Cricetulus griseus: one gene and its partners. The protein of the gene in region 4 binds, or shares a complex with, the protein of the main gene of each other region. Links are inferred from orthologs where the notes say so. Each region holds a gene or a part of one and is shown on either strand. Other genes may lie near its edges. The genes, in order: Ripk1, Zbp1, interferon-inducible protein AIM2 and Casp8.

The links.
Region 1: Casp8 (region 4) and Ripk1 share a complex: the UniProt entries of both Homo sapiens proteins name them as parts of the AIM2 PANoptosome complex. The link is inferred for Cricetulus griseus from reciprocal best matches to the Homo sapiens genes CASP8 and RIPK1.
Region 2: Casp8 (region 4) and Zbp1 share a complex: the UniProt entries of both Homo sapiens proteins name them as parts of the AIM2 PANoptosome complex. The link is inferred for Cricetulus griseus from reciprocal best matches to the Homo sapiens genes CASP8 and ZBP1.
Region 3: Casp8 (region 4) and interferon-inducible protein AIM2 share a complex: the UniProt entries of both Homo sapiens proteins name them as parts of the AIM2 PANoptosome complex. The link is inferred for Cricetulus griseus from reciprocal best matches to the Homo sapiens genes CASP8 and AIM2.

The regions. Positions count from the first base shown.
Region 1 is NC_048596.1:253,840,631-253,848,313, reverse strand, and holds the start of Ripk1 (receptor-interacting serine/threonine-protein kinase 1), read right to left. Parts: upstream 4,201-7,683; 5' UTR 4,063-4,200; intron 3,926-4,062; exon of another isoform or gene 3,771-3,925; intron 184-3,770; exon of another isoform or gene 59-183; intron 1-58. UniProt on the Homo sapiens protein: Serine-threonine kinase which is a key regulator of TNF-mediated apoptosis, necroptosis and inflammatory pathways.
Region 2 is NC_048599.1:6,096,578-6,103,945, forward strand, and holds the start of Zbp1 (Z-DNA-binding protein 1), read left to right. Parts: upstream 1-3,469; 5' UTR 3,470-3,601; intron 3,602-3,814; 5' UTR 3,815-3,975; coding exon 3,976-4,015; intron 4,016-5,722; coding exon 5,723-5,959; intron 5,960-6,862; coding exon 6,863-7,051; intron 7,052-7,368.
Region 3 is NC_048598.1:19,570,737-19,578,183, reverse strand, and holds the start of interferon-inducible protein AIM2, read left to right. Parts: upstream 1-3,326; 5' UTR 3,327-3,475; intron 3,476-4,407; exon of another isoform or gene 4,408-4,426; intron 4,427-7,447. UniProt on the Homo sapiens protein: Sensor component of the AIM2 inflammasome, which mediates inflammasome activation in response to the presence of double-stranded DNA (dsDNA) in the cytosol, leading to subsequent pyroptosis.
Region 4 is NC_048595.1:413,126,902-413,133,801, reverse strand, and holds part of Casp8 (caspase-8), read right to left. Parts: intron 4,592-6,900; coding exon 4,453-4,591; intron 4,373-4,452; coding exon 4,322-4,372; intron 2,804-4,321; coding exon 2,739-2,803; intron 901-2,738; coding exon 759-900; intron 1-758. UniProt on the Homo sapiens protein: Thiol protease that plays a key role in programmed cell death by acting as a molecular switch for apoptosis, necroptosis and pyroptosis, and is required to prevent tissue damage during embryonic development and adulthood.

The DNA of each region.
Region 1 (7,683 bases), on a different chromosome or scaffold from region 4:
TTATATGGCAGTTTCATAGAGGAAAAAAAGGCATAGGGAAAGACACCAAAATATTCACCAGCATTTGATTTACACTGTACTTTTGTTCAGCCAGTGTGCCTAGGTTTGCTTGAGATTTGTGATCCTCTTGCCGCAGCTTCTGGAGTGCTGGGATTATAACTGTAGCTCACCATGCTAGTAGCTCTTCTTTATACTTTTTTATATTACATTTTCTAGAATAAACACAAATTGCATTCATAACAAAATTATATTTTGAAAGAATCACACCTTAACTCAGTAGCTGTTTATTTTGAGGAATCAAACCTGAGACACTGAGAAATTATATTCCTAGTAATGTTACACAGAGCAGCAAAGGCATATACAGCAATTTGTATGCACAAAAGAGCTGTTAGAACTAACTCATCATGCTCTGAAATACAGCTAACATCTTTCAAATGTGAGGCAGGAGGAAAATGTTTTATGGGTGTGGGTGGTATACTCTTTAATTCCATTTGAGTTCAAGCTTAGTGAGCTCCAGACCAGTCAGAGATACACAGTGAGATCCTGTCTCAGAAAGAAAAAAAGCAAAAAGAGATGTTTGAGGAGAGATGACTTATTTGGTAAGGGTGCTTGCTGTTTTTGCAGAGGACCTCGTTTTGATTCTCAGCATCCATGTGGCAGTTCACAACCACTGAAACTCTACTTGTAGGGGATCTGAGCCTTCACAGTTACCAAGCACACATGTGGTGCACATACATATATGTAGGTAAAACACACATACACATGGGAAAAAAAGAATGTTTAAGAACACACAAAAAGGAACTGCCTAAGAATACTGGGTGCTGTAGGCTTAAAAAAAGAAAGAAAGAAAGAAAAAAGAAATAAATTGGTAAATAAACCATGCAAAATTCTTGCTGGATGGTGGTGGTGCATGCCTTTATTTCCAGCACTCAAGAGGCTGATCTATGAGTTCCAGGCCTGCCTGGTCTACATAGTGAGTTCCAGGACAGTCAGAACTAGAAAAACCCTATCTAGAAAAATTCACACACACACACACACACACACACACACACACACACACACACACACACACACGCTCACAGCAAATAAACTACAACCATGTCCCAAAATATGCCAATTCAAGTGTAATGATTTCACCTTTATAGTTCTCACTGGCTTATCTCTCCTACCTAGCCAGGCCTCCTGAAATTTCTCTCTAGAGCCTCCAGTGGTGTGGAACTAGGGAAGAAGGCAGAGCTAGGGAAGGTGGAGCTAGGGAAAAGGCAGGGCTAGGGAAGGTGGAGCTAGGGAAGAAGGCGGGGCTAGGGAAGGCCTCTACTATGCTTTGGGAACATGGTTCTGGATCTAAGCCAGTTTTTCCTCTAGTCTTGTGCTTTATTAGTCTAGTCTGATCTTAGCACAAATCCTCCTTTGGTGGATATTCAATTATTTCTTTCGTGCTTTTATTTTTTTCCCCTTGAATGATTCAAGTTTATGCTGCTGTTTTCTGGCAGGCTGGAGACAGAACCCAGGGCCACACACATGCCAGTCAAGTGCTGTGCTGATGAGCCCCAGTCAACTTATAAGCAGTGTATTTTGAGAAAGCCATGTGGGCAGTGTACTGAGGAAGACCCAAGGACTGCAAAAACACTGAATGTAAGGTAGAAAGCCAGATAATCAGTGCTTTAAAAATTAACTAAGGTATGTTGACCTGTTATAGAAAGCCATAACTAATTTCAACTAATACCATGTCCTTTTCAATGGGATTTGCTAGTGTTTTGGGATAAATGATTATTAATGCAGAAATAGGATATATATATATATATATATATATATATATTAAATAGTATTACATTTGAAAATATATAGTATTTATTTATTTACTATATTATAAATATAGTACTATTTATAAATTATATAAATAGTAAATATACACTATTTGAGTTCAAGCTTACTTAGTGAATTCAAGGTCAGTTAGGACTACACAGTGAGACCTTACCTCAGGAAATGTGTGTGTGTGTGTGTGTGTGTGTGTGTGTGTGTGTGTGTGTGTATACAAACCCCCCCCCAATGGCTGGACTCCCTTTAAACCCAATTAATTTTCTCTTAAATTTGCAATGACAATCATATATAATAAGAGCAGGAGGACAGAGAATCAGGGAATGAGAGAATATCAATTGAGTATTGTTTCCCATGTCTTCCCTAACAGAATTCTGACTTTACTCAGGTATGTGACACGATCAGGAGCCATCTCCAGGATTCTTTAATTAAAACAGTCTGTGCTTCGTCCACAAGCAGGGCAATGAACAAGGAATCAAACCATCAACAAAAGACAAAGTTAGAATAAAATTCAATGAAGCATGATCAAATACATTAGCACACTGTGACCCGTGAACTAATCTTATTAGGACTATTTTCACCTTACAAATAAAGAAACTACAAGTTGAGGTTAAGTGATTCACCTGAAATGAATGGATTCAAACCTTACCCTTCTCAGACTTCCACTCTCAGTTCTCTAATACATGCTGCTTTCTAGAAAGTCAAATAAAAATTTGAAAACCCCAGATGTAGATCAAACCTCAGATGCAAAGACCGAATTGTTGCCAGGCACAGTGATACATGCCTTTAATACCAGCACTAAGGAGGCAGAGGCAGGCAGATTTCTGGGAATTCAAAGCCAGTCTGGTCTTCTACATAGTTAGCTTTAGAATAATAAGAATTACATAAAGAAACCCTGTCTCAGCTGGCGTGGTGGTGCACACCTTTAATCCCAGGACTGAGAGACAGAGGCAGGTGGATGGATCTCAGAGTTCTAAGTTTGAGGCCAACCTGGTTTACAGAGGGAGAACCAGGATAGCGAGGGCTACACAGAGAAACCCCTGTCTTGAAAAACAAAACACACAAAATTAATATTATCCATGTCTTCACAGTAAGACACATATGCCAGAATAATATCCAACCAAAGTGTGGGAAACTATACTTTTTGATTCAATTCCAAGATTCTACTGGTGATATTAACATGTTATGAACTAATAAGTAGTAGAACCATTCCCAGTTTGCAACAGTCATGAAAACTTAACATTATGTACAAGGCTCAAAACAGGAAAGAAAGAGAAAAATGAAAATTAAAGTTGGTAACTGTTACTGCTACTTTTCAGTAATAAAACAAAATAAGTTTCATTTTAAACAAAACTAGTCTTCATTTTTTATATACAGCAAAGCCTTAGTGGTGTCTTCCCAGTGGGTACAAAATTACACGACTAAATCATTACATCTCAAAGTTCACACTGCCATTGAGTTTTCATGAGCTAAGAAAGAATTAATAGCTTTCTAAAGATTGAAGGACTTTTGTGGAATTTCCTGATTAAAACAGCCTCACTCTGCCCCAAATAAATGAGCAAGGAAATCAAAATGACCTACAAGAGGCAAAGAATGAGCCACCCTGGACCGAACCATCCAACCCCAGGAGGCTCTGTCCAACACCGGTGGAGAGGATGTGGCTTATCTTCTTCAGAACCCAGAGGGGGCTGCAGCAATCCACAAAAGCAAACGCCACTGAGGACCAGAGGAGCCTTGGACGTTTGACACTGTTCTCTCACTGAGGACGTGGATCGCTCCTCATTTGCTAGCTCACCTCTGAGATAATGATGAAAGCTACCCATAGCTCTGCAACCCCCTGCGGCCGAAGTACAACGTGGTTGGCAGGTCCAAAACATTTAGGCAACCTTGTTAGAGCACTAACGCTTCCATAACCCATCACCCCTACCAAAAGAATAGTGAAAGAGAAACACCTGTCGCACTGTCACTCCACAACCGTGGTCACGGCGCAGATGTCCACTTTCTGTCGCGACTTGAGCTAAAACCACCTCAAAAAGAGTTCAACCTCCCGCTAGATGACACCCAGCAACTCCCGCGCCTTTCGACTTCCGGGTATGCTGGCGGCCCCGCCCATCACCCGCTTCCGGAAAACGAGGCCCGCCCTCCGGCCCACGCGCTGGAATCCCGCGGTCGCCGCCCCTTCCGGGAAGCCAGCTGCGGAGGAAATGAGCGGCGGACCCTGCCGCGGCCTCCGCGCTGCCTTACCTCAGAGTTACTTTCCTTTTCCGCGGCCAGGCACTCCGGCCCAGGTGAGCACACCGACCCGAGGGCAGGGGCGACAGGAGCTGCGCCTCGCCGTGGCTGCCCAGCCAGGACGGCTCCTGGGCCGTGCGGAGGACGCAGGGACCGAGCTCGGTGCAGGAGTGGCGCCCAGCCGCGCCCAGGCTCACCGGACACCGCGCTTCTCTGAGCGCCCGCGCGGCCCTGCGACCCCCGCGAGGTGAGCGGCACCGACACCCGCGCTCGCGACGCCTCTCCGGGTCCGCTCGTCCTCCTACACCGGAGCTTCGCTGGGTGGGGCGGCGCTAGGCTGCGTCCGCCTCTGTCTCCGCCTCTGCTCACGCCCCGGGGCGGTGAGTGCGGCAGGGCCCGCTGGGCAGTGAGTTCCGCCGATCACGACGGTTCCCACGTCGATCCCGGAGGCCTGCCCGCGGAAACGATGCCAGTTCTGCTTTGCTTTTCGGCTCGTTCTGAGAGAGCCCTTGAAAAGAGGTGCTCCTAGCTGCTCTGTCAGGGCTGAGTCACCCTGGCCAGCTGGAAAACACCGAGTGCGACAGTGGCGATTGAGAGCTGGCAAATGAGCCTTCATCTGCCACGGCGGGCTGTGGAGGACGAAATGTGATTATTTTGTAGCCCTCTGAAATGGTAATTGTGAAATCTCAAGGCCAAAAAAAACAAAAAGTGTTATTACTGGTGTCATTAAGTTGCACGATAATGCAATGATCACTTATTCTCAAAAGATAATTAGTGGAAAGAGAGAGGATTACAAAAGACATGATAAAGAAGTCTTACTAATGCATGCACACAACCACCATCTTAAGAAAATTCACAACCATTTTAACAGAAACCTAAACATGCAGATAACATTAAAAAGATGTTCAATGTCATAGGGCATTATGGGAAACTCACCTTTGACTCAAAGTAAACATAAAATGCCCAACATTCACAAATGGAAGGAATACAGAATGTTACCTTTACGGTTACTGTGTGACTTAGCAGTTTCACACACTGGCATGTACCCAAGTGAACATAAATTTGATGAACAAACACATGTACCTAGGTTGAGCTTTTTTGTTGTTTATTTGGAGGGGCTTGAGGGTGTGTGTGCAAAAGTGCGCATATGTGAAGGCCAGAAGACTACCTCCAGTATCTCCCTCTAAGTACACACCTCTTTTTTTTTTTTTTTTTTTTTTTTTTTTTTTTTTTTTTTTAAAACAGGAAAGGACTCACTTACCTTTCGTTTGTGTAGTAGGCTAAGTATTCTGGTTAGTGAGCCTCAAGAACCTGCCTGTCTTTGCATCTCTGGTCTTGGCATCATGAGTGTCACCATGGCCAGGGTTTTTTTTTTTTTTTTTTTTTTTTTTTTAACACAGGTTCCAGGGATTTGAATTCAGATCCATTATGTTTGCCTGCTTGCTGAAGGAGCCCTGAGCTGTATTCCCCAGGTCCCTGTACTCAAGTTGTGTGTTTGATTTTGCTCTAAGACTTTTTTATGTTTTTGAGTGTGCATACCTGAGTCAGATTCTCCGGGAGGCATCAGGTCCCCTGGAGCCGGAGTTACAGGTGAGCTGTCCAATGAGGGTCTGGGAACTAAAGGGGTCTACTGTAAGAGCAGTATGTGCTTTTAACAGCTGACTCATATCTCCAGCCCCTGTATCTGGATTAATTTTTTAAATGTTTATTTTATATGTTTTCGTATCTTGATTGCATGTTTGTGCACCACTTGAGTGCCCAGGGAGGTCAGAGGAGGGCATTGGACCCCCTGGAACTGGAGTTAGGGATGACTAAGTCACCATGTGACTGCTGAGACTGAAATCCAAGTCCTCTGTAAGAACAACCACTGAACCATCTCTCCCAGTTCTGTGTCTGAATTTTTGTGGCAGCTTTTCATAATTGCCAAAACTTGAAAGCAAATGAGTTACTTTTCAATAGCTATAGTAAATGGAATACTATTTGGCACTAGAATGAATTCTAGAATGAAAGAATTCAGTGTTTTTGTTTTTTTGTTTGTTTGTTTTTTGTATATTCCTAAGTAAGAAATCAATCTTAAAAAAAAAAAAAAACTACACAATGTGATTTCAAATATGACATCCTCAATGAGGGAAATCTTTGGAGATTCTACAAAGCCAGTGGTTGTCAAGAGTTTGCAGGGAAATGATATACAAGTAAAGCATAAGGAATTTTCTTTCTTTCTTTCTTTTTTGTTTACAGACTGAAACTATTTCATCTGACTACAGTCCCATGCATACCTGTCATGGCATGCACTGCTCTTTCTACTCCACAGATGCAGAACCAAAAAGATGTAAAGCAATGAGGATAGGAAGATGGGAGAAGATTTTGTTTTTCTTTTTTTGGGGTAACAAGACTATGAATTATAGAGACTGAAAAGTGTCATGTGGGTCTATAAGCTGAAGACCTCATGTTGCTGGTAATGGTTCATTCTTAAAACTTGAGAGCTCAGAATTAGAGGAGCTGATGATGTGCCTTTACGATGTGTTGTCAGGTTTTATTACTGTTAACATCTAACTAGACCTAACTTAACAATCAGTTAACTTGAGAGAGAGAGAGAGAATAGTTCTGTACTACCTGAGGTATCAAGCATTAACTAGGCTACTTGAGATGTATACCCCACGAATAAGGAGGTACTATTAAATTGATATCCCTCTCTTCTCCTTTTTTTGCTTTGTCTTTCTAGGGATTTAACAAAGTTGCTGATCTCTTAAGTTAGGGTTTCATTTTCTCTTCTATTTTCAGGTTCATTGACTTGTACTATCTTTTTTGTTTGTTTTTGTGAGACAGGATTTCTTTGTGTAGCCCTGGCTGTCATGGAACTATCTCTGTAAACCAGGCTCTCCTCAAACTCAGAAATCTGCCTGCTTCTGCCTCCTGAGTGCTGGGATTAAAGGTGTGCGCCACCACTGCCTGATGACTTCTACTGTCTTTATTATTTCCTTCTGTTTGTGGTGGCCCTTTCCTTTCCTTTACTTGTTAGTCCTGGGTTATAGTTTATTGTTTTAAGACTTCCTTTTCTAATAAAAACATTTTAATGCTGTAACTTCCTTTTAGTCTTCCTTTTCCCACATCTCAGATGTTTTCATATATTTTCTTTTACTCAGTCAAATCTCTTATTTGACACATAATTCATTCATAAGTATGTTGTTTATTTTCCTAGTATGTAGTTTTTGTTTTTTGTTTTGTTTTTGTTTGTTTTTTGTTTTTTCCTCTTAGGACAGGGTCTTACTATGTAGACCTGGCTGATCTTGAACTCAGAGATTCACCTGCTTCTGCATCCTGGGTTCTAAGATTAAAGGTGTGTACCACCATCCAGGCTTCCATTATCTTTTAATTGGTTTCTAGTTTAGTTTTATATTAAGTAGAACATATTTTGTATAATTCCAATTCTAAATGGCTGTGATTCAGGATGAATGTTCCACATGTCCCTGGACACCATGTACACTCTGTTTTGCTGGGTAGAGTGTTCAGTAAGTGTCAGTTGGATCCAGTTGGATTATGTTATTTTCCAATAATTTCATTTCCTTACTGTTTTATCTGCCTCTGGTTCTATTACTGATGATAAATCTGTAGTCATCTGAATTGCTGCTGCCT
Region 2 (7,368 bases), on a different chromosome or scaffold from region 4:
CTCTAAGGTGGTTTTATCGCATGCACACACAGTACCTAGTACAGAAACAGTTTACTTTTACATGGAACCATCTCCAAGGCCCAGGGTTTAAAACCACCAGTCAGTATAGAGGCAGAAGGCCCAGCTGCCATTGGGCCTCAGCTCAGGGTTACTGAACAGCTCAGTCCTTTGGTAACTGCTGTGGTTTCTTCCTGCTGGACCAGGAGCACTTGGCTGCCCACCTTCAAGTTTCCTTACAGAGAGAATCTAGGAGGAGCCTAAAGAGCTCGTCCTCCACCCCACACATCAACCACCTTTATCAGCACCTTGTGACCAGGTGCCCCGTGAGCCTCTGGATCATTCAGAGAGCCACAAACACCAAGGTAGAGGCAGGCCTAGCCCAGCCAAGGACAGCCGTGCTGGCTGGCTGTGTGCCTACTAGGTGCCCAAGTTAGTGACTGAGAATGCAACACCCACAGCACCCGCAGGTCAGAGTCTGAGTATAAAAGAGAGGGAAGAGTTTGGGCCTCAAACCATGGAGACAAAGAAAAAAACACCATAGTAAATGTTTAATTAACCATCTGGAAACCAAAGCATCATGTCAAATTCATTAATCGTCCCATTTAGTTGTCATGAAAATTTCATGATACTTCGCTATAGTTGAAGAGAATTTATGGCGAAATAGTCTCACCCAGTAAGCATTCCCAAGAGTGATACTTGGCGAGGAAACCATGGCCAGCTTTGACTAAGTGAATCTCTTGTGGGCAGATAATCTGTAAAATAATTTTTCTTTAACAGTCTTTCTGGGGCCTGTGGAGATGGCTCAGTTGTAAAGTGTCCACTGTACAAGCATAAAGACCTGAGTTCAAGTCCCCAATCCCCACATAAAAGCCAAATGTCTACAGCTCCAGCACTCCAGCGGTAGGGTTGGCACAATCTGGAGATCTTGGGGCTTGCTGGCTAGTGTCTGGCCAAATCAGAGAGGCAGCTGGGGGCAGTGACAAAAAGCAAGCAGCCTGTACCATGTCCTGAGCTCTCTGAAGGAACCTCGGATGCAGCCAGTACTGGGTTAAGAACTGTGGTATCCCACTGCCAAAGGGAAACTAACACGCATAAAGATCAGGGCCGTGTTCAAGGCCCGGGCTGAGAAGAGATGCCCAAGCGTGCTAGCCTCCAGTGGACAGAGTAACACTGAGACCCACTGATTGCTCTGTCTTGCAGGACGCCCACCCCCAGGGATTTGAAGAGGGGGCTCATCACCCCAACACACCTGCCATAAACTATCCCCTTGCTGTCACCAGCTATGTCTGACCTCTGACCAAACAAAGTTTGCAGCCTGCCTTCCTTTCTTCCTTTCTTCCTTCCTTCCTTTCTTCCTATCTTCCTTCCTTCCTTCCTTCCTTCCTTCCTTCCTTCCTTCCTTCCTTCCTTGCTTCCTTCCAGAGCCTGGTTATGGGGAGGGAAGGAGGTGGGTTTTGCCAACACAATATGTGGTAAAAATATCTCTCTTTTAAAAGAGAGATCACAAAACCTGAAGACTCGAGATCAGTAACATGTAATTATCCCCTGCTTTGGGCGGAGAGTTCTAATAGTTTCTAGAAAAACATGAGCCATTTGGAAGGAGCGTGCTCTCCAGGATAAAGAGAGCAGCTTGGCATGCCATTTGTATGTCTGGGCCCTTCCTAGCCTGGAGGAGGAAGCACCTACCTGCTTTCTTTCCTTTCTTCCCTCCTTCCCTCCCTCCCTCCCTCCCTCCTTCCCTCCCCATTGGCCTTGAACCCCATCAGACTCAGAGTAGCATCTGCTAGAGAAAGAAGCTGGGAAATGCTGGGTGGGGCAGGAGACGGCCTCCATGCAGAGGAAGAGCCTTGAGTTGACAAGGACACCTAGGTCTCTGCCAACATCTGTTGCGATAGATATTGCTGTGATCTGAAGTAGTGTTTGGGGCCTGCAGGATGTGATCTTTAAAGGGAGATGTCCATGGTGCTTGTTGAGTTTTTCCGGCTGTGATAAACACTATGACAGAAACAAACAAAACCCAGCTGGAGAGGAAAGGGTTTATTTCTGCGTACAGTTCACAGCCCATCTCAGAAAGAAGAGCTGTGAGAACCCGAAACAAAGATCGTTGAGGATGTTGCTTCCTGGCTCATGCTCAACCAGCTTTTTATTCACAGCCTAGGAATGATGCTGCCCACGGTGTTCTGGGTCCTCTCACACCAACCGTGATAATTCTCTCACAGACACATCCACAGCCAATCAGACCTGGGCAACCCTGCAACCGAGACTCCCTCAGATGGCCCTGTACTCAGCTGCCTGCTGAAACTGCCTAGGATACCCGTCCTTTGCTCCTTCCTGCCAGAAGGAGAGCATGTGTGACAGGTGGAACTCCAGCAACCCTTGAAAAACTTAAGCACAGAGGCTACAAATGGCAGAGCAACAGTTTAAAAAGAAGCCGGGTGGCTGCACCAAATCTGGAGTACCTGGAGTCTTGTGTCATGCACAAGAGGGAAAAGGTCCATCTGCCCAGTCCACAGCTGTGGAGGCTTGGGATAATCCCAGCATTGAAAATTGGCTTGAGGTTTTTCTTAAACAAAGACAAAGAATAAGAAATAATCCAAAAGTTTAGAAGGATTTTGGCCAGGCAATGGTGGAGCACGCCTTTAATCCCAGCCCTCGGGAGGCAGAGGCAGGCGGATCTCGGTGAGTTCCAGGCCAACCTGGTCTACAGAGCGAGTTCCAGGATAGGCAGGGCTACACAGTGAAACCTTGTCTGGGGGGACGAGGTGGGGGGTTGTCCAAGAGGTATTGTGATACAGTCCTGCCACTCAAGAAATGATAATGGAGGGGTCAAGAATCTGAATTCAGGCTTGGCTACAGAGTGGGACCCTGTCTCAAAAATTAAAAACAATAAAGAATAGGGAATGCTGAGATGTTCACAGCAGAACCCCAGTGTCAGGTTCTCATGGCATGTCCTGAAGCCCAGCCCTCTAGGGCCAGAGCCACCTTGGCCAAGGACCAAGCAAGACCCCCAGGCAAGAGCCGGTTGATGAGAGGGCACCACCTAGTGGTTGGTCCCCAAATAGCCCCTCTAGGGAGCCTGATGTCCCTCAACTGGCTCAGCTGAGTGTTTAAAGGGTGACCTTATTTATTTGGGGGGCTCAACGGGCTGTACAATTTTCTGTTTCCCTTAGCTGCATCTGCAGGCTCTGGGTTTCCCCCTGGAAGTCATAAAAATCATTTGGAAATTTTAAAGTTTCCCCATGCACAGGCCGGTGGAACTGGCTGTGTGGAACTGGCCTGGCCGTGGCCTGTCCAGTGACAAGGCTGACTGGGGACCTGCAGCTTGCTTTGCAGACATTTTGCAGGTACATATATACCTCCTTCTGGTCTCCATTTCCTGCTCCTGTCATGCCCTATGCACTAATGCTAACCGGTGCCAAGGACCTCCCTCCTGCAGCTGGGACCCAGATTCAGGGTTATTGTAGGCTGAGTTGTGGGCACGAGGCCATCTCTGTGAGCTCAGTCCCTTAGTCTGTAATTGGAACAGAGTGATGTCCGAACTGTTCGAGGACCACTGACCTCTTTGAGAATGTATGAAAGTGAGGGGCTCCTTTTCTAGAAGGTATGTGGATGACAGTACTAGTCCTGCCCTGTCAGCAAGTAGGGAATGCGCAGTAGGTACCTTTTTCCTAGTGGGAGTCCAGATAGGCAGTTCCCACCCCAGAGGCCAAGACTCCTCTCATCCCCGTCATTTATTCAGCTCCAACTTGCTCACCCCACCCTGATTTCAACGTTTCTTTCGAGAACCACCAAGTTTCATTTTCTCTTTCTCCAGAAAGCTGGGTGGATGGAGCCAGATGGGTGCTCGTTTCCGGGGTGGAAACATATGGTGTCTGCAGCTCCAAGAAGCCGCTCTTCTTCTGTGGACACGGCCTCAGGCCTGGCCACAGTTCGGGAATCTGCCACCCCCCGCCCCAAAGGTGCCCTGAGGTTGCCATGAGCATGGCAGAAGCTGCTGTTGATCCGAGCACAGGAGGTAAGCCGGGCGAGCCTCTTCCTTCCCCCACGCAGCGTGGACCCTGGGCTGGTTTCTAAGGCTCCTTCTAATTCTTTGCTTGGCCCAGACAGCAGCAATATTCTGAGGACATCAGAGCTCAGGAAGCAGGCACCACAAGAAGCTAGCTTGCTTCGGGGACCCTGTGCGTCACACTTTGACCCTTGCTTAGGCTGGTTCCTAACAGCCCTCAGGCACAAGTGGTAGCTCTCACCTCACAGACAGGTCACTGAGGCCTTCGATGGGCTTCAGGCTCTGAACTGTGAGAGGGGACTTTGTTTTGATAAGAAGATTTGGCTCTGATTCTATGTTCATGCTCTTCTCTCCGCTACAGGGCAGTGCGAGGCTGTGGGTGAAAGACTGTATGAGGCGAGGCTATCGGGGCCGTGCAGCTGTGGACAGGATTTACTTTACTGCTTTTCTTCATTGTTTCGAAACTTTTTTTAAAGATATGCTTATTTACTGTGTATACAGTGTTTTGCCTGAATGCACGGCTGTGCTCTGGTCAAAGAAGCACCAGGTCTCATTCTAGGTGATTGTGAGCCGCTCCGTGGTTCCCGGGAGCCACACTCAGCACCTCTGGAAGGGCAGCCACTGCTCTTAACTCCTGAGCCATCTCTGCAGCCCCCAAAGTCACCCTTTTCCATTCTCGCACCATGCTAGGGCATGTTGCTCAAAGGCAGAGGAGCCAGGGCAGTGGCAGGTTCAGGGCCAGGTGGAGAAGACCAGAAACTAACCCTCACCTGGTCCCTGTGGCTTCCTAATACTCTCCTTGCCAGCCAGTCACCACCATCCATTCCTTCATGCTCACCCTTTGGAGAAAGCTCTGCCTGTGTGCCCTTAGGAGTCAGTGGGAGAAGGGAGGGCAGGAGAGCCCACTGCAGGACATACACGCCCCAGCAGAGAAAAAGCAAGCAGAGTGGAAGCCCAGCCCTATAATCCCAGCAGGGGAGGGGGTGGCTGAGGCAGGAGGATTGCTGTGAGTTCCAGGCCAGCCTGAGATATATGGTGAGACCTTGTCTCAAGAGGAAAAACAAAGGAAGGTAGAAGCAGGCAGATGGAAGGAACCAGAAGGAGCACGAGGTGGAACTTGGGTGGCTCTTGGGGTCAGGCGCAGAGGAGGCTGGGCAGGGAGCAGAGGTCCATCGGATCTCTAGGTAGAGGGTGCTGGAGGGAACCATTCTGGAGTTGGTGGTCACCTGGGAGACTAGTAATGCTACCAGGAAGATGTCATTGAGGCTGGGGTAAGGGAGAAAAAAGTAAGTGGGAGGTATCTGAGCTGCGTTTTCAGGGCTCCTGATCCACCTGGAATGGGAAGGGAGACCTAGGAATGCCCATGGCATCCATGGGAGATGGAGAGAAAGGGACTCTCCATACAGGCTGGAAGAGGCACCAGGCAGCGTGGAGGGGCTTCCGGGCCAGGCTTGGCTCCATCATCTGAGAGCTGAGGGCTCCTACCTGTCTGGGGTTCCACACCAATACACAGGACAGCATGTACACTCCTCTGCCGTATGAGTGCATCCCACCATTCAGCCATGGGGCCAGGGTCCACTCAGTCTGACACTCTTGCCTCTCAGTGATTCCTCGATGCTGTCGGCTCTGGGTTCTCGTATCTTTCTTACCTCTGGAGATGGGTGCTAGCCTCCAATGGGGGCTGGGCTTGACTCTTCTCTCTGTTCCTCCCCCAAGACAATCTGGAGCAAACGATCCTACAGATACTGAGTGGAGCCGGCGGCTCTGTGAAGCTCCCCAAGCTGGTAAAGGAGTGCCAAGTGCCCAAGAAAACACTCAACCAAGTCCTTTACCGCCTAAAGAAGGAGGGAAAAGTTCACTCACCAGCCCCTGCCACATGGTGTTTAGGCAGGGATGCTCCTGGAGATGAGGCTCCTGCAATCCCTGAGGACCCCACTGCCCAGCCCACCCTCGGTAATCTGTCATTTGGGGGCACAGCAGACTCCCCTCAAGGGCCATCTTGACAATGGGCAAGTCCAGGTTCAGGCTTGGCTTTCAAATCTGAGCTCTGCCATCCTCTCTTTATCTTTTGATTTCTTTTCACCAATAGGGCTTGTACGTGGTAGGTGTGAGGTAGACACTAGCAATAGTAAAGGCACAATCCAGGCAATTGTCACAATGACAGTAGGGATTCACTCGGAGCCACTGAGCAGAGAGGGCTCACAGCTCCATTGCTGATGCTGTACCCAAGGCCACCTAGCCTTCAGCAACTCCTGCAGTTGGAGCCAGGAGAGGAGGCAGCCTCAAGACCCTGCCCTTCTGCAGCCAGCAGCTGTGACCCAAGCAGATGTGAAACCCTGGGACCCCAGCCTAATGTCCTGTCCCCTAGCTGTCCTGTGGAAGTGTTCCCGTTGCTCAGTGGATCAGAGCGTCTCCTGTCTCCAATGGACACATTTTTCTTCCTCCAGCCCCAAGACCCTAAAGTTGTAGGCACAACTCCAGGGAGTCCTGGCCTTCAGCTCAGTGCACACCAAAGGCCTCCCCAAACTACTCTTAGGGGCACAAGGGGAAAGGGTGTTTGGGATCATGTCCACCACCGAGGCTTCGCAAGAATCTCAGAGGCCAGACTCGGTGTCAGAAGCCAAAGGCTCCAAATGGATAAGAAGTGCTTTATTTTCCAGGCGCTGACACGCCTGAGCCAGCTTCATGCACATATCCGGTCTCCAGGTGACACTGTACCCAGTAGGAGCATGGGCCTCAAACAAAGCAAGACCATGCCCCTGGGCTTCATAAGCGCCCCAGGTTACAGCCAGTGGGTGCTGGGCAGACGCAAGCCCAGGGCCCTCTTCCTACTGAACGCCTGCCCCTCACTTGCAGATGAAAGAATCATCAGATTCCTGGAGACCAGCGGGCCTCACAGGGCCCTGCACATCGCCAAGGCTCTGGGGATGAAGACAGCCAAAGAGGTGAACCCACACCTGTACGCCATGAGGAACAGGCACCTCCTGAGCTATGATGGGAACACATGGATGATCTACGACTCAAGTCGGAGAGGTCAAGAGCTAGGTATGAGAGGTCAAAGTCAGTTTGGGGAGGTCAGGGGTCAGGGCGGATGGCCTAGGGTCAAGTTGGGAAGTTCAAAGTTCAGGTCAGGAAGGTCAAAGATCAGGATCGGGCCATCTAGGGTCAGGCTGAAAAAGTTAAGGGTAAAGATTGAATGGCCTAGGGTCAGATTTTGTTTTATTTTGTTTTTAGATTTATGTATTTTATGTGTTATAAGTGTTTGCCTGTGAGTGTGTGTATACACCACATACATGCGGTGGCAGCAGAGGCCAGAGGAGGGAAATTGGAGTGACAGGTGGCTGCGAGCCCCCATGTGGGAG
Region 3 (7,447 bases), on a different chromosome or scaffold from region 4:
TCTTTCTGCCACCCACCCAGTATGTGCTGACCTACCTTTCCCTAAGAGCTATATTTTGATTAACTACAGTCTCCATAAGCCAGAACCTTTCCCCTGGCACTCATCCATTGTTCCCATTCATTTGTGAAGCAACTCTCACTAAGGTAAGAAAAAAGCAACTTGATAGCCAAATCCAGTCCTGTTTTGTTCCCTCTCTCTCTCTCTCTCTCTCTCTCTCTCTCTCTCTCTCTCTCTCTCTCTCTCTCTCTCTCTCTTGCAACTTTTAAAAGACATATCCAGGACACTCTGTGGCAGAGAGAATAAGGATGGCCCCCATAGGCTCATCTATTCTAATGCTTACTCATCGGGAAGGATTAGGAGGTCTTGTTGGAGAAGGTATGTCACTGGGAGTAAGGTTTGAGGTTTCAAAAGCCCAAGCCAGGCCCATTGGCACTCTCTTCCTGTTGCTTGCAGATGTAGATATAGAACTCTAAGCTACTTCTCCAGCACCATGTATGCCTGCATGCCACCATGCTCCCAGCCGTGGCAATAATGAACTAATCCCTGAAACTGTAAGCCAGCTCCAATGAAATGTTTTGTTCTATATGAGTTGCCATAGTCATGGTGTCTCTTCATCCGAATAGAACACGGATGAAAACACTTCCCCCGCCCCCCATATTTTAGCATTTTCTCCTAGTAGCATCCAAAGACACAATTTCAGTCTTACTACTGTTTGTGACCATGGAAATCTAGAAGTGCAGGTCTCTTAAGGCAGAATTGGTTACTTTATTGGCTTTACTGGATCTTTTACTGCCAGTTTTGAGGCTGTAGTTCTGAGTTCTACTAATACAGTCTCTTCCCTTTGTCTGGCAGGTCAGTTTCCCTCCTCCACTTTCATCGCTTTATGTGATATGATTTTCTGTCTTTTCCATCTTGCTGTCTGATGATATTATTAATCTAGTTCCTTATACTTGGGATATTTCCTCAGCTTTGACTGGAATTCCTTCCGGTCTCTTATATAATTGCATTTATCATGCATTCTAAGATCCACAGTAGATGTTTGAAATCACATGCAACAAAGAATTATATTTTGTCCTATTCCTACAACCAATGAGGTAAAGTTTAATGCATAAACTTGGTATAATAAGAGATTACCAACAACCATTAATCATAAAGTAGAATAATGAAAACAATGCAGTTAGTAATAACATAAGACAACTGTATGGTCCAGAGAATGAGCTGTGATAAATGCATTTTCAGTTTTGAATGAGTAAGTTATTAAATACATAAAAGTAAAAATAAAATAAAAAACAACAGTGAGGTGGTAAAGCATCATCCAAATGGAAAGTCAAGACACTAAGCAGATATAGGCTGGGGAAGCCCCTTTAGGGCAGTCATTTGAAGTTTCCAATAAAGAGAGTCCTGGGCAAAGCAGAACTTCAGTGAGGTTTCCAAATAAGGAACAAATAGTGCCAGTAAGAGAAAACTTCATCAAACCGGATGCTTAGAACACCCAGCAGAAATCAACCCAGGAAGTTAAGGCAGCTAACTTTCTCTCCATGGCTGAACGTCTGGATTCTCTTTCATTTGGTTGACCCTTAAATGTCATGGATAAAAATCTGTTGGAAATACTTGACCTGGTTGTTTTTAAGAACACCACATTTTTATTCTTGGGCTGTTTTGTCCTCCCTGTCACACTGAGTTGGAGGCGGGAGACTAGATACACCCAGATAAGAAACCTTTGAGACAAACATGCTGGGGTCTAAAGTGGCAGGAGAACAACCCCACTTTCAGAGCCAGCCTAGCAGGGAGTTCAAATCAAGCCTGGCATTTCCCAAATGTGTGCATTGGCCTGGTTTTGTCTCTTAGACTGTGAACTGCCTAGTGTTAACAGGAAACAAAAGAAGAGGTTTTGGCTTACATGAAGTTCCCAGTATCTAAAATATCTCTGGCTGAGATCTCACGGCAGTAGGAGAAATGCTGCAGAGGCTTGTTGGAAAAAGGAAACTGAAAACATGTGCTTGTTTGGGCACAGCCTCAAGATGTCATAACTATCGTGCCTCCTATCAGCAGGGCTCGGAACTCAGCTACACGGCCAGGGCTAGGGAAGTTTCTAAGTGAAAGGAACCAATCACACTTTCCACTTTCCATCTCTCAAGACCTGATTTTCATGTCCTACCACTAGCAGTGAAAAGCTTTGTGAGGGAGAGCTTTAAACTATTAGGGCATATACTAATCCCTGAGTTGAGAACTGAGGCTGCTGTGGAGAGGGAATCCAGTAGGTAAGCCTTGTCAGAATTTTTCTAGAAAAAGCTTTAGGATCCTTTTGCTAATAGCAAATTAAGAGGAAATGGAAGTTGTAGGTTTCTGGGGTTGGAAAGGAGCATCAGTATTGACTATGCTCCAGAAAAGAATAAAGCTGCAGGAAGCCTGGTTCTAAACCTTCGCTTGACTGAGGAATAGAAGCTTTTTTTTTTTATTATTATTATTATTTCACCACAACTGAGCCTTTAACAAAAGAACATGCAGTTGGCTGTGGCAGGAATTAGAATATATTGTTCAGAGGGTTGACCCAGACTGCGCCTAAAAAGGAACTCTGATTTTCTGGGAGCCTTGGTCTGTAGGTGTCTTACTGACATGAATTTAATTTATATTTGGAAGAGGGCCTTTGATTTCTAGCTGAAGGAGAAAGAAACATAGGGACTGGAGAGCTATTCCTAGATAAAAGATAGTAACAATGGTGTGGCAGAATGCCTATGATGTAACATTAGCTTGAAAGTGGCAGAGCACCAAACTCTATTATAAGTAACCTTACCATTTAAGAAAAGCCAAGTATAGCCCAGAGGTGGTGGCCCACGCCTTTAATCCCAGCACTTGGGAGGCAGAGGCAGGTGGATGTCTGCAAGTCTGTTGCCAGCCTGGTCTACATATAGTAAGTTCCAGGACAGACTCCAAAGCTACACAGAGAAGCCCTGTCTTGAAAAACCAAAACAAACAAACAAACAAACAAACAACAAAAACAAAACAAAAAAGAAATGCTAAACAGATAACATATTCCATAATCTCAGATGTTCAAGTGGCATGGCATTTATTATTTTTTAAAAATTATGTATGCTTTTTAATTTCTATTTCTTTTAGTTTATTAAGTATGAGAAACAATTTTTAAGTTTCTATAATTTAAATTGTATCTTATTTTTCCTTTTCATAGTAAATTCCTAGAATTTAGAAAGCGATGATTCATATGATAACTATGTTGTTTGAATATACAACTGGCGGTTCGGAAGGTTCTGGTAGTGTTAGGAGGTGGAACTTTCTGAAGAAACCTTATTGGATGAAGTGTACCACTGGGACAGGCTGTCTCACTCTTCCGCTATTTCCTGTATGAGCAAGAACTGAAATTGGCCAGATTCATGCCCTACGTGGCGACCAACCATAATGCCTTCCCTGTCGGCTGCTACGCCTTCCCTGTGGTGTTGAAATCCACGCTCCTGGGACTGTGAGTAAAAATAAACCCACTCCTTCCCTGTGTTGCTTTTGGCTGTCACATTTTATTAGAATACAAAGGAAAACAGTTCGCTGATAACCTTTGTAGACTTATTGAAAATGTGCTAAGTACTTCTAAGTATTTATCAGGACATTATGTTGTTCAACTTTTCTACTTTTTTGCTTTTTTTGGCTATGTGAAACTTTAGTTACTGAAGGAAGTGTTTTGTAATTTCCAACTATCAGAGTAGGTTTGTCATTTGTTCGTGGAGAACTGTCAAGTTTTGCTTAGAGCTGTTAATTTTAACAATGAGGTGCATACGTGCTTAGAATTTCTATGTTGCCTTGGTGACTTTAATGTTTAATCATTGTATAGCAGCTCTGTCCTTAATGACACTATTTGTCTTATTATCTTCTCTGACGAATATTAATATAACTGACCTAACTGTTTTTTTTTTTTTGTGCTTAGTGTCTGACTCATACATATGCTCACATTCTTTGCTTTCCTGTTATTCAGTATTATAATACCCTCAGTGTGTCTTTTGTAAACACCATAATGCCTACAGTGGGTTTTAATCCACCTAGCATTCTTTTTAAAGCTGGGAGTCTAATTTCTGTGAATTCTGTCCTTTGAAATGCTTGGATTTTTGTGTGACCGTCTTTCCTATGGTATTTCCCATCCATGTTTGCTTTCTTCTTTTTAAAAAATATGCTCAAGAGTATTTACGCAGTGATGTGTATTATGCTGGTCATGTTTTCATAAGTCCCATGTTATAAATTTTGTGGGGACAAGTCATTTTTCATTAGTCAAGAATAATGCCTTTTTCATAGGTGTGGACTTTGGGAGCCCAATCCACATAGAGGAATTCTCCCTGAGCCAAGACCCACAGGGGTGGGCCTAGGCCCTATCCCAAAGGATATGGAACGCCTCACCCTCCTGGGGAGGAGAAAGGATATGAGATAGGTAGGGTTTTGGTTGGGGGGATGGTAGGGGAGGAGGGGAGGGAGAGGAAACTGGGATTGACATGTAAAACAATCTTGTTTCTAATTAAAAAAAAGAATAATGCCTTTTTGAGATAGCTTTTGGAGAAATCATGTAAGATCAAGTTTACTACTTCAGTGAAGTGAACTTGCATACAGTTAGCTAAAGGGAACAATCCAGTTCCGTTAGTACTGTGTACCTTCCCCTGAATCTAGAAACACTGCTTCTATTCATCTCTGTAATTCATAGGTTGCTTCAATGTTACCTTCTCAAAGAGACGTAGTGTGACCACCTAATCTGAGTCTTACCACATACCCCCAGCCCACATCCTTATTGCATACTATCTACTATGTAAATTTACACTTTTCAGAATAATAATGAAGAAATCTTACCTGATTGGTGACTGATTTCCTCAAAGACTTGCAAGGTGCCTGACTGGACAGAATGAGCTGATGTGTGAACAACTGCTTGATTTACTAGTTTATTTCATAAGTGCTGATTTTTTTTTTTGTATTTCTTTAGAAAGGAATTTTAGATGGTTTTGCACCGTAGGGGTTGGCTGTTTAGTCACAGACAAGTTTGCAAGGAAAGTAGCGCAGAGTGAAGGTCCTTAGGGATACTCCCATGAAGCAACTGTATGTTCTGGGCGTGGGGGAAGCGTGGCCCATCCTGCTGCAGTGGGTCTCAAAGGAGGGCATATTGGCATAGGCATGGCACTGTGTGGCTTATAGAGCTCTATCTGCCATGCTGCTTATTAAATCCTCACATTTATCTCCTATTATCTACATTTAACTGATGGGGAACCAACCCCATCAGATAAATACAAATCAGGCAGTGTCAGAGCACATTACTCTCCTGGCTTGGTGCCACATTTTTTTTTTTTTTTTTTTTTTTTTACTGGAGTGCTTTTCTAAATTAAATCTGGACACCCACCTGTTAGCTGTGGGTTTTAGAGATTCTTAAGAAGGTGATTAAGAAGAGACTCTTAAGCAACGGCAAGCAGTGACCTGAAGTGGAGCAGCTCATCGTGAGGACAGGCTTTAGGCATCTGCCGTCCATCTAGAATCTAACGGGAAGGAATGGACATTTGCTGCAAGACTTTCCTAAGAAGGAGACAAATTCTGACATTTAAGTCTCTTGCAGTTTCTTGCTCTCCCCATAGCATGATAAATATAAACTTCAAACTATAATAATAGCATATGTTGAGCACACCAGGTGTCAGGGATGCTTCATGGATTGCCTGCTTATGAAATCAGTCACATCTCACGTGGAGTCTATGCAGTAGGGACTGTCAGGCAGGGCTTCATCAAAGAACTAGAAAACGCCTTTGATTCCCATCTTAGAGCTAGAAAAGGAAAGACATGGAATTCTAACCCAAGTATTCTCTGTACCAGGAAAGTAGAGACCAATAGAAATATAAACAAGTACATACATTTAACTTTTCTTTTTTTTTCTATTAGTTCAAATTAAGAACAAGCTTGTTTCACATGTCAATCCCTTCTTCTTCTCCCCCCCCCCAACATCCCAGCTGCCCCTAGCCATCCCCCCATCTCTCCCCAGGCAGGGTAAGGCCCTCAAAAGGGCTCCCCAACATTTAACTTTTCTAGTAGCTACATTAAAAACAAAAACAAATAACATCAACCCAATATGTTTGATTAACATCAAAAGTACCCAAAATGTGTCCTATGTCTTCAAAACTCTGGTGTGTATTCTGTTCTCAGAGTTCATCAATTCTGATGATAAATTTTCATCTATATTTAAATTTATATTTATATATACTCAAAATTCACAAAATTTACAGTTAAAAAGTAAGCTTATATATTCAAGTAATTTTAATCATACTGATTTTCTAGAAACTGAATTTAGTTTATGTTTTAATTAAAATTAAATGCAATATAAAATTCAGTCCTCTCAGCTGCACACTTAAAATGTTTGAGAACCACGTGAAGCTACTGTAAGCAAAGCAAGGTACTCTGGATTCAAGCCTGTTTTCTATTTGTTTATTAATTGATTTATTGATTAATTTCTGAAGTGCATTGTGTGATATGTGTATTCATGTGTGTGTGTGTGTGTGTTTATGTGTGTGTGTGTGTGTGTGTGTGTGTGAGTGTGTGTGTGTGTGTGTGTGTGTGTGTGTGTGTGTGTGTGTGTGTGTGTGTGTGTGTATGCTAGAGGTCAAGGTTTCGTGTCTTCCTTAATTGCTCTCCATCTTATTTTTTGAGGCAGGGTCTCTTCTGAACCTGGAGTTCAATGATTTAGTTAGGAATGCTAGCCAGAGAAGTCCAGGGATCTACCCATCTCTGCCTTCCCAGGTCTGGAACTGCAATGTGTTATGCATGCCCAGCTTTTAACTTGGGTGCTGGGAATCCAAATTCATCTCCTCACACGTGAATGCCAGGCAGGTTACTGACAAAATCACCTTCCCCAAGCCCTGTAATTCACACTCTACTTCAGTTACAGAAGAAAAGCACTCTCATCTCCTGCCCCAACTGCCCAGTCCTGGAGCAGTTTCTTTCCACCCCATAATATCAGCACTATCTCTTCATATTCTGTTTTAACACACAACTATGTGACCCTGCACAGATCCTAATGTCTTCTTGGAGAGAGGTGAAACGTTTTGCAAAAGAAAACAAAAACAAACTGCAGATAAGAAAAGTCAAGATGAGAGAGAGGAATATATATATATATATATATATATATATATATATATACCTCCCAGAGGAAAACAGTAGCCAGAACAGATTTTTCTACCAGACCACTGGGATTAATGAGGTTTCAAACTAGCTTCTGAAATTAGTCTTGAAATCCTCCACATCCTTTTTTTGTTGGTATGACTGATTTGGGGAAAGAGAAATGATACACAAGAAATTGGAGAGAGGCAAAAACAGTTAAAAATTCTCTTGATGCTTGGGTTTGTCCTTTGGGGAGTAGACTGAAGTAAAAATGAGAATAGAGCCAACCCTGCTGGACAATGTTAAGAAAAGGAATCAGTTGTGAGCCTTT
Region 4 (6,900 bases):
GGAACCTGAGTCCTCCAGAAGAGCAGCCAGTGCTCTTAATCACTGAGCCATCTCTCCAGCCCCCATTTTTTATATTCTTATATTATGAATTATTGATAGGCTGCTCCAAACATTTCTGGATAGTTTAGCATTTTGTTGGGCACTCACAACTCCTGCTGCAATGGAATAACTTTTATGAGCAAAATCCCTGCAGTTACTCTGATACCACAGCAATTTTTTGGACTAATTCATTCTACAGAAACACTTTTCATTTAGTGAGTTAAAAGGAAAACTCAGGGCAGGGGAGATGGCTCAACGGTGAAGAGTTCTTGCAGAGGACCCAGGTTCAGTTCCCAGCTCCTGCTCCAGGGGGACCTGATGTTCTCTTCTGGACTCTAGGGGCATCCACACACACATGGGCATACTCACATAGAGGCATATACACATGAATAAAAAGTGAAATAAAACTTAAAAATTTCTAAAGTTCACTCATGCTCTTCATTACAAAGTTTTTAGTAAGAGTTGTCATTTTATCACAATGTATATATTACTTTGATTTTAAACCTAATTACAAAACTCAGAACAGATATGTAAGAATGTTCTTTTACCTCCACAAGGAAATAGTAATAAAATGAATAAAAATAAATGCTTGATAGATTTTCTTGAACCATGACTCCATTTCTCAAAATATAGGGCCCTTTAGGACTATTGTCTCTTCTTTTTAAAAGCACCACAGGAATTAAAAATTATTCATGCCTCTTCTTTGGATTTGGCTGTACCTTCATCGTAGTTTGTTCCTTTTCTGTCCTTCATTTTGTGGAATCTGGGTATGTTCTTCCTCGCCTCACTGAAATCATTATTGTTGATGATCAGACAGTATCCCCGAGGTTTGCTCTTCATTTGGTAAATTCTGTGTGATACCTGGAAAACAAAAGCCGAGTCTGGGGAGCTGACGCTGTAGCTCAGATACCAGCCTGTAAGTAACAACTGCCCAGGAAGAGGCTAGACCCCTGCCTAGCTCCCCTGGGAAGCATTGCTTCCTTCCGTTACTCCAGCCAGATTTGGGGTCATCTTGTTGAAAAGCTACTTTCTGCTCCTCCGATTGCACAGCCTCTCATGAGCTGTACAGTAAGGGGACCTGGGCCTGCTAAGTGCCCCAGATGTCACATACATCCCTGATATTATCACAGTTTGTTACCACTGTGCTTGCTTCAGCTTCCCTCAGCATCCAGAAGAGCTTCAGGCCAGATAACATGTGGGACTTTAAGAGTTCACTCAACGGTGACCTCTTGGGACGGCCCTCCATGACCTTGGCAATCTTTCTGGGGTCTACTCAGCTCATCTGCCTTTCTTGGCTAACAGCGAGGGACTTGCCCTTCGCACATGATATAGTGCAGTCTCTCTGGTTAAAGCTGATGCCTTAAGCCACTGCAAAGGAACTGGGCAGCAGGTGGAGAGCAAGGAACTACTCAAGTTGTGTTTATGGAATCCTGACAGTAAACACCAGAGGGCCTGAATACTTGTTTTTCTCTTAGGGCTGTTTCAAGCTGAGAGTCCCAGTATTTAGTTGGAAGTCCGTGCTGTCTCCTGAAGTATACAGAAAAGAACCCAAGACTAGGGGACAAAAGCCAGCTTCTAAGGCTTAAAACCTTAGGACTCTGGGCAATTTAGCTAATCTAGTGTTTAACAATTTATAGCACACTGAGCTCCTCTTCATATTGTACAAATCCTTCACTTTTCAATGTTTTCTGTGACATAAGGTACTTTATTAAACACAGGGTATATTCAGTATTTGTTATTATCCTAAGTATCTCCTATTTATATTAAGTAGATTTATTGGGATATTGTAATACAGGCAGTTAATAAGATATTCACATGATATATTTAGCTGTTTGGAGAGGACAATACTGTAGAGTGCCAGACCATCTCAAAGTAACATATGATGTTGACTAATTCTTGATTTCTGGACCTGAGAACAAGGCCTGAGAATCTTCTCAGAAGGCCACCCTAGTGCATATCCTTTCTCAAAGTGTCCAGACGCTTCGTGCTTCCTGCCACGGGGAGGAGGCTAATGGGCTGAACTGTAATCGGTGAATTATTGAAGACTATAAATAGAAGCTACGTCTAGGAAGGAAATCTTTCTACAGGCTTCCCTGAGATGAAAACTAAGACTTGCTGAGATCCTGTTTGTTGCCTAACACAAAGGGGGGATCCCTCTGCAATGTCAGGCTAAAAGAGAAGCCTGCTAGAGCAACTCCCCCACCCCACCCCACCCCCACCAAAGCAGCCATTGTTCTCGAAGCCTCACCCCCTCCCCCACAAGCACTCATTTTAGCTGACACAGCTGCTAGAACAAGAGGGAGGCCTCACACACTTTCTACCTTCCAACAATTCCTGTGCCTTATAATAAAATTAGAGCCTATGTGGTGACCCATACCTATAATCCCAGCACTTGGGAAGTAAAGTCAGGGAAATCAGGAGTTCAAGGTCATCCTCAGGTACATAATGAGTTCAAGGCCAGTCTGAGCTATAGGAGACCCGGTCTCAGAATACAAACAAACTGAACAGAGATAATAGTGATACATAATTTAACACCAAAAAAAAAAAAAAAAAACTGGTTCTTTTGTAGGTTTTTCTTCCTCAGAGTTCTCAAAATTTCCAAAAGGCTCCACCCCCTTATTAGCTTATCTGGAAGCTTAAAAGGAGCTAACAAACACAAGAGACAGAAACTTCCATGCAGAGAGAGCAAGGAGGTGTACCTGTGAGTCGCTGTCTTGTTCTCTTTGGGAGTCCCACGTTTCCTGCATTCTGAAGTAACTCTCCCCTGCAAGCAACCAAGAAAAGTATCCAGAATGAGGGGCTTGGCGGTAAAGAAATATGTAACGCTTGGGACAACCTAAGGACCTTAAAACATTTCATGTCAACATACTTGCGTGCATGCATGCATGCATATGAACATTCACGCACACATGCCTGATGTAGGGAGCACTCATGTGTGGGGATCAAAGAGGACTTTGAGGAGTTGGTTCCCTCCTTCCCCTTTCACTGGGCCTGAAAGTAGCACTTTTACCTACTAATGTAAGTCACCGGCCCCCACAGGCCGGTCCTTTTAAAAATAATCATTGAAACTGCCTTGAGGATATTTCATATGTGTAGATCTTGTAGGAAGGGCATTTAGCATGCTTCTGGAAACCCAAGTGCAAACTGCCTTGTTTGTGCGGTGGGTCTGATCAAAGCAAGAGGTCAGTATGAGTCAGTCCCTGACTCAAACTTTCCAAAGGTACTCGGAAATTGCTGGGCTCAGGTAGGCATGAATAGAGGGAAGAACTGGCTGGTACTTGGCCTCATTTCTAAAGGAGGGTGATCCTTGAGTGGAAGAGAGCTTGTCACTCTTTGCAGAGGGCCAGAGATTCCAAGCACTCACAGTCACAAGCACCGCAACTCCATTTCCAGGGGATCTGATGCTGCCTTCTGACATAGCCAGGCTTCTGCATAAATGTGGAGTGCATAAACTCACTCACCCACATGCACTTACATGTGAACTTAAAGTAAATAAGCAGAGTGCTCCAAAATGTATTACACAGCAAAAACAATAGTGAAAACATAAGAAGGCTATTACCAGTATTAATGTTTACAGACTGGTGGTGCTGTTCACATTTTCTCTAAAATTAAGAATCACCCCCAAGGGAACACATATGATTTTTATAGTCAGAATATTTGATTAATAAAAAATTTGGAGGGGGCTGGAGAGACAGCTCAGTAGTCAAGGCAGGGAATATGGCTGGAGCATCCCAGGCTGGGGCAGCCACATGGTGGAGGAATTCAGGGGCAGTGGGAGCCTGGACTTAACAGAGAAGAACTATGAACACTTGGCCAAAGGGCCTCTCCCAAAGCCAAAAGCTTTGATCAAGAATGTTCTGGGAAAAAAAAGTCAGGTGTGATATGGCACATGCCTTTCACCCTAGCACTTGAGGCAGGCCAGTTTCTGTGATTTCAAGGACAGCCTAGTCTACGTAGAGAGTTCCAAGACAGCCAAGGCTGTCTCAAACAAATCAAAACACAAGAATATTCTGGAAAATTATTTGAATCTAGCTACCCACATCTCAAAGGAAAAGAAGACACAGCCAGAACAGATTTAAGACCCACTTGTAGAATAACTGTGCTCATTTCAAATGTTCCCATAGGGCTTTTGCAAATTCTTTTTATCTCCCAGAGAGCCGCAGGGGTGACAAGTGACCACCAAACTTTCATCCTGATATTAGGCTATGGCAGAAGGTGGTGGGAAGAGAGTAAGAGGGAATTAAGTGCCTCGGCATCAAAGAAATGAATCTGGAAGTCTTACCATCTAAAACTGAAACTGGCGACTCTGCCCCTCCTTCAAGGCTCATTCTCCCTGCATTCAAAAGGAAGAGCTAGATCAGAAACAGCTGTGGCTCTGGAGGCTTTGCCGCCTCATAACCATCAGCTGTCTACCTCTGCTTGATTTTTCATAAGCCTCAATCTTCTCCAGCAGGCTCTTGTTGACCTGGGCACAGATTGATTTCAGGGCATCCAAGTTTTCTTCCCTCAGGATGACTCTCTTCTCCATTTCCACAAAAATATCAAGCAGGCTCTGGGGAGGAGAGAGCAAGGGACAAATGGATTGAGTGCTCAGGCCTGGGAACTAGGTTTTTGTTTCCTTAATTCCACTTCTTCCAAAGCAAGAGCCCAGTCTTATTTCCCACAGAGATCGCCCTCCCACCCCTGAGCACATACTGATCCCTCAAAGTTGACAGTAATCAGGAAGGCCATTCTGTGTTTTCTGGCCTAAAAGGATAAAAACATAGAAAAAAAAGAGAAGCCATGTCAGATGTCACCAGTCCCCAGGCCTTGTTCCCAAACTATCTGTGGAAGCCTTCATCTATGGACCAGCCTGGAGGAGTGTGGGAAGAACAGCCCTGGAGACTGCATTATACTCTGGCATTGCCTTATCCACCTCTAAACCTCAGCGAATGCACATACAGAGAGAGAGACATGTGCAGGGCACCAAACACACACAGAGAGGCCATGAGCATGTACACACGTGTTCATGTGCGCTCGTATGCACCCACACTAAACAAATGTACAAAGATACACTTGGACAAAGCAAACATCAGAATTACAATACACCACACAGCACACAAAAGCACACACACACACACACACACACACACACACACACACACACACACACACACCGGGGGGTGGGGTGGGGAGAAACCCATACACATATGTACTACACATAGGTAGACTCAGACCAACAGAGACGCAGAGGTATACACCACACACACAGGTACATATGCCACACATATACATAAGAAGCACACACAAACACAAACACACACACACACACACACACACACACACACACACACACACACACACACAACACACACACACACGTTCATAGCAACCTTATTCATAATAGCCAGATCTTGGAAACAACATAGATGTCTCTCAACTGAAGAATGGATAAAGAAAAGGTGGTACATTTACACAATGGAGTACTACTCAATGGTATGAAATAATCCTGAGTGAGGTAACCCAGACCCAGAAAGACAAATGTAGTGTGTACTCACTCATAAGTGGATACCAGACATAAAGCAAAAGATACCCAGCCTACAATCCACAACGCCAGAGAAGCTAGAACCCTCTTCCAGAAACAGATGGAAGCAGATGCAGAAATCCACAACTAACCATTGGGCCAAGCTCCTCGAGTGAGGGAGGAGCTATAATATGAACAAAGGAGTCAAGACCATGATGGGGAAACCCACAGAATCAGCTGACCCGAGCTAGTGAGAGATCACTGATTCAGGTCTGACAAATGGGGAACCTGCATAAGACTGAACTAGACTCCCTGACAATGGTGTGACTGGGACAGTATATGAGGCCACTGGCAGTGATCCAAGATCTAACTCTAATGTACAAACTGACTTAGTAGAGCCGTTCTATATGGAGAGATTCCTTGCTTAACCTAGACACAGGGAAGCGGGTAGGTGGTGCCTTGATCCCACCTCAGTGAGATGATGAGACAGACTTAGTAGACTTCCTAGGGGAGGCCTTACCCTGTCTGAGGAGCAGATGGGAGGTGCCCGGGAGGAGAGGAAGGAGAGGGAACTGGGATTGGAATGTAAAAAAATTAATAAAAAGGAAACCTAAAAACAGAAGGGAAGTTGGAGTGGGCTTATTATAGGCAAACTGTGTATTCATTTCCCCACTGTAGTTCCTGTGGGGGCCTGGATGACATTATTGTCACTGAGGCACTGAGTATATTAGAGAGAGGTAACATAGTAAGATATTAAATAATGTATTAGAAGAAAAAAGAAGCACACACACAATATACACAGCATGTAGACACAGACACATACATCATACAACCTACTCATAAAGACACATACCACACACTGGGGGAACAAACAAACAAGCAAACGTGACATTTCAAAAGCAGCAGAGGTGAGGAAGATGTGACCCCAGGCTGCATTTCCTCCCTGGCCCTGCTTGGTCCCATGTATTGTGGCACTGCCCAACTTGCCTACTCTGTCTCCTGGGTCTGCCCCATGGCTGAGTAGTAGCACTTTACAGTGTCAAGGCATCAAAGCCATAAATAACTACTACCCTGCCTCACTACTTTACTTTCCCCAGGTAAGAAGTGAGAACATGGGGACTAAGGTATAGCTCAGCTGGTAGAGTGCTTGCCTATCATGCAAAAGCTGTTGAATTCCATCCTGGAACCACAGAAACTGAGAGTGGTGCCACATGCCAGTAATCCCTCACCCAAGAGGTGAAGACAGGAAGACCAGAAGTTTAAGGCCATCCTTGGCTATATTGCAGGTTTGGGTTCAACCTGGGCTAATGATACCATGTCTCAAACAAACAAATGAAAGCACAAACAAACAAGTGGAA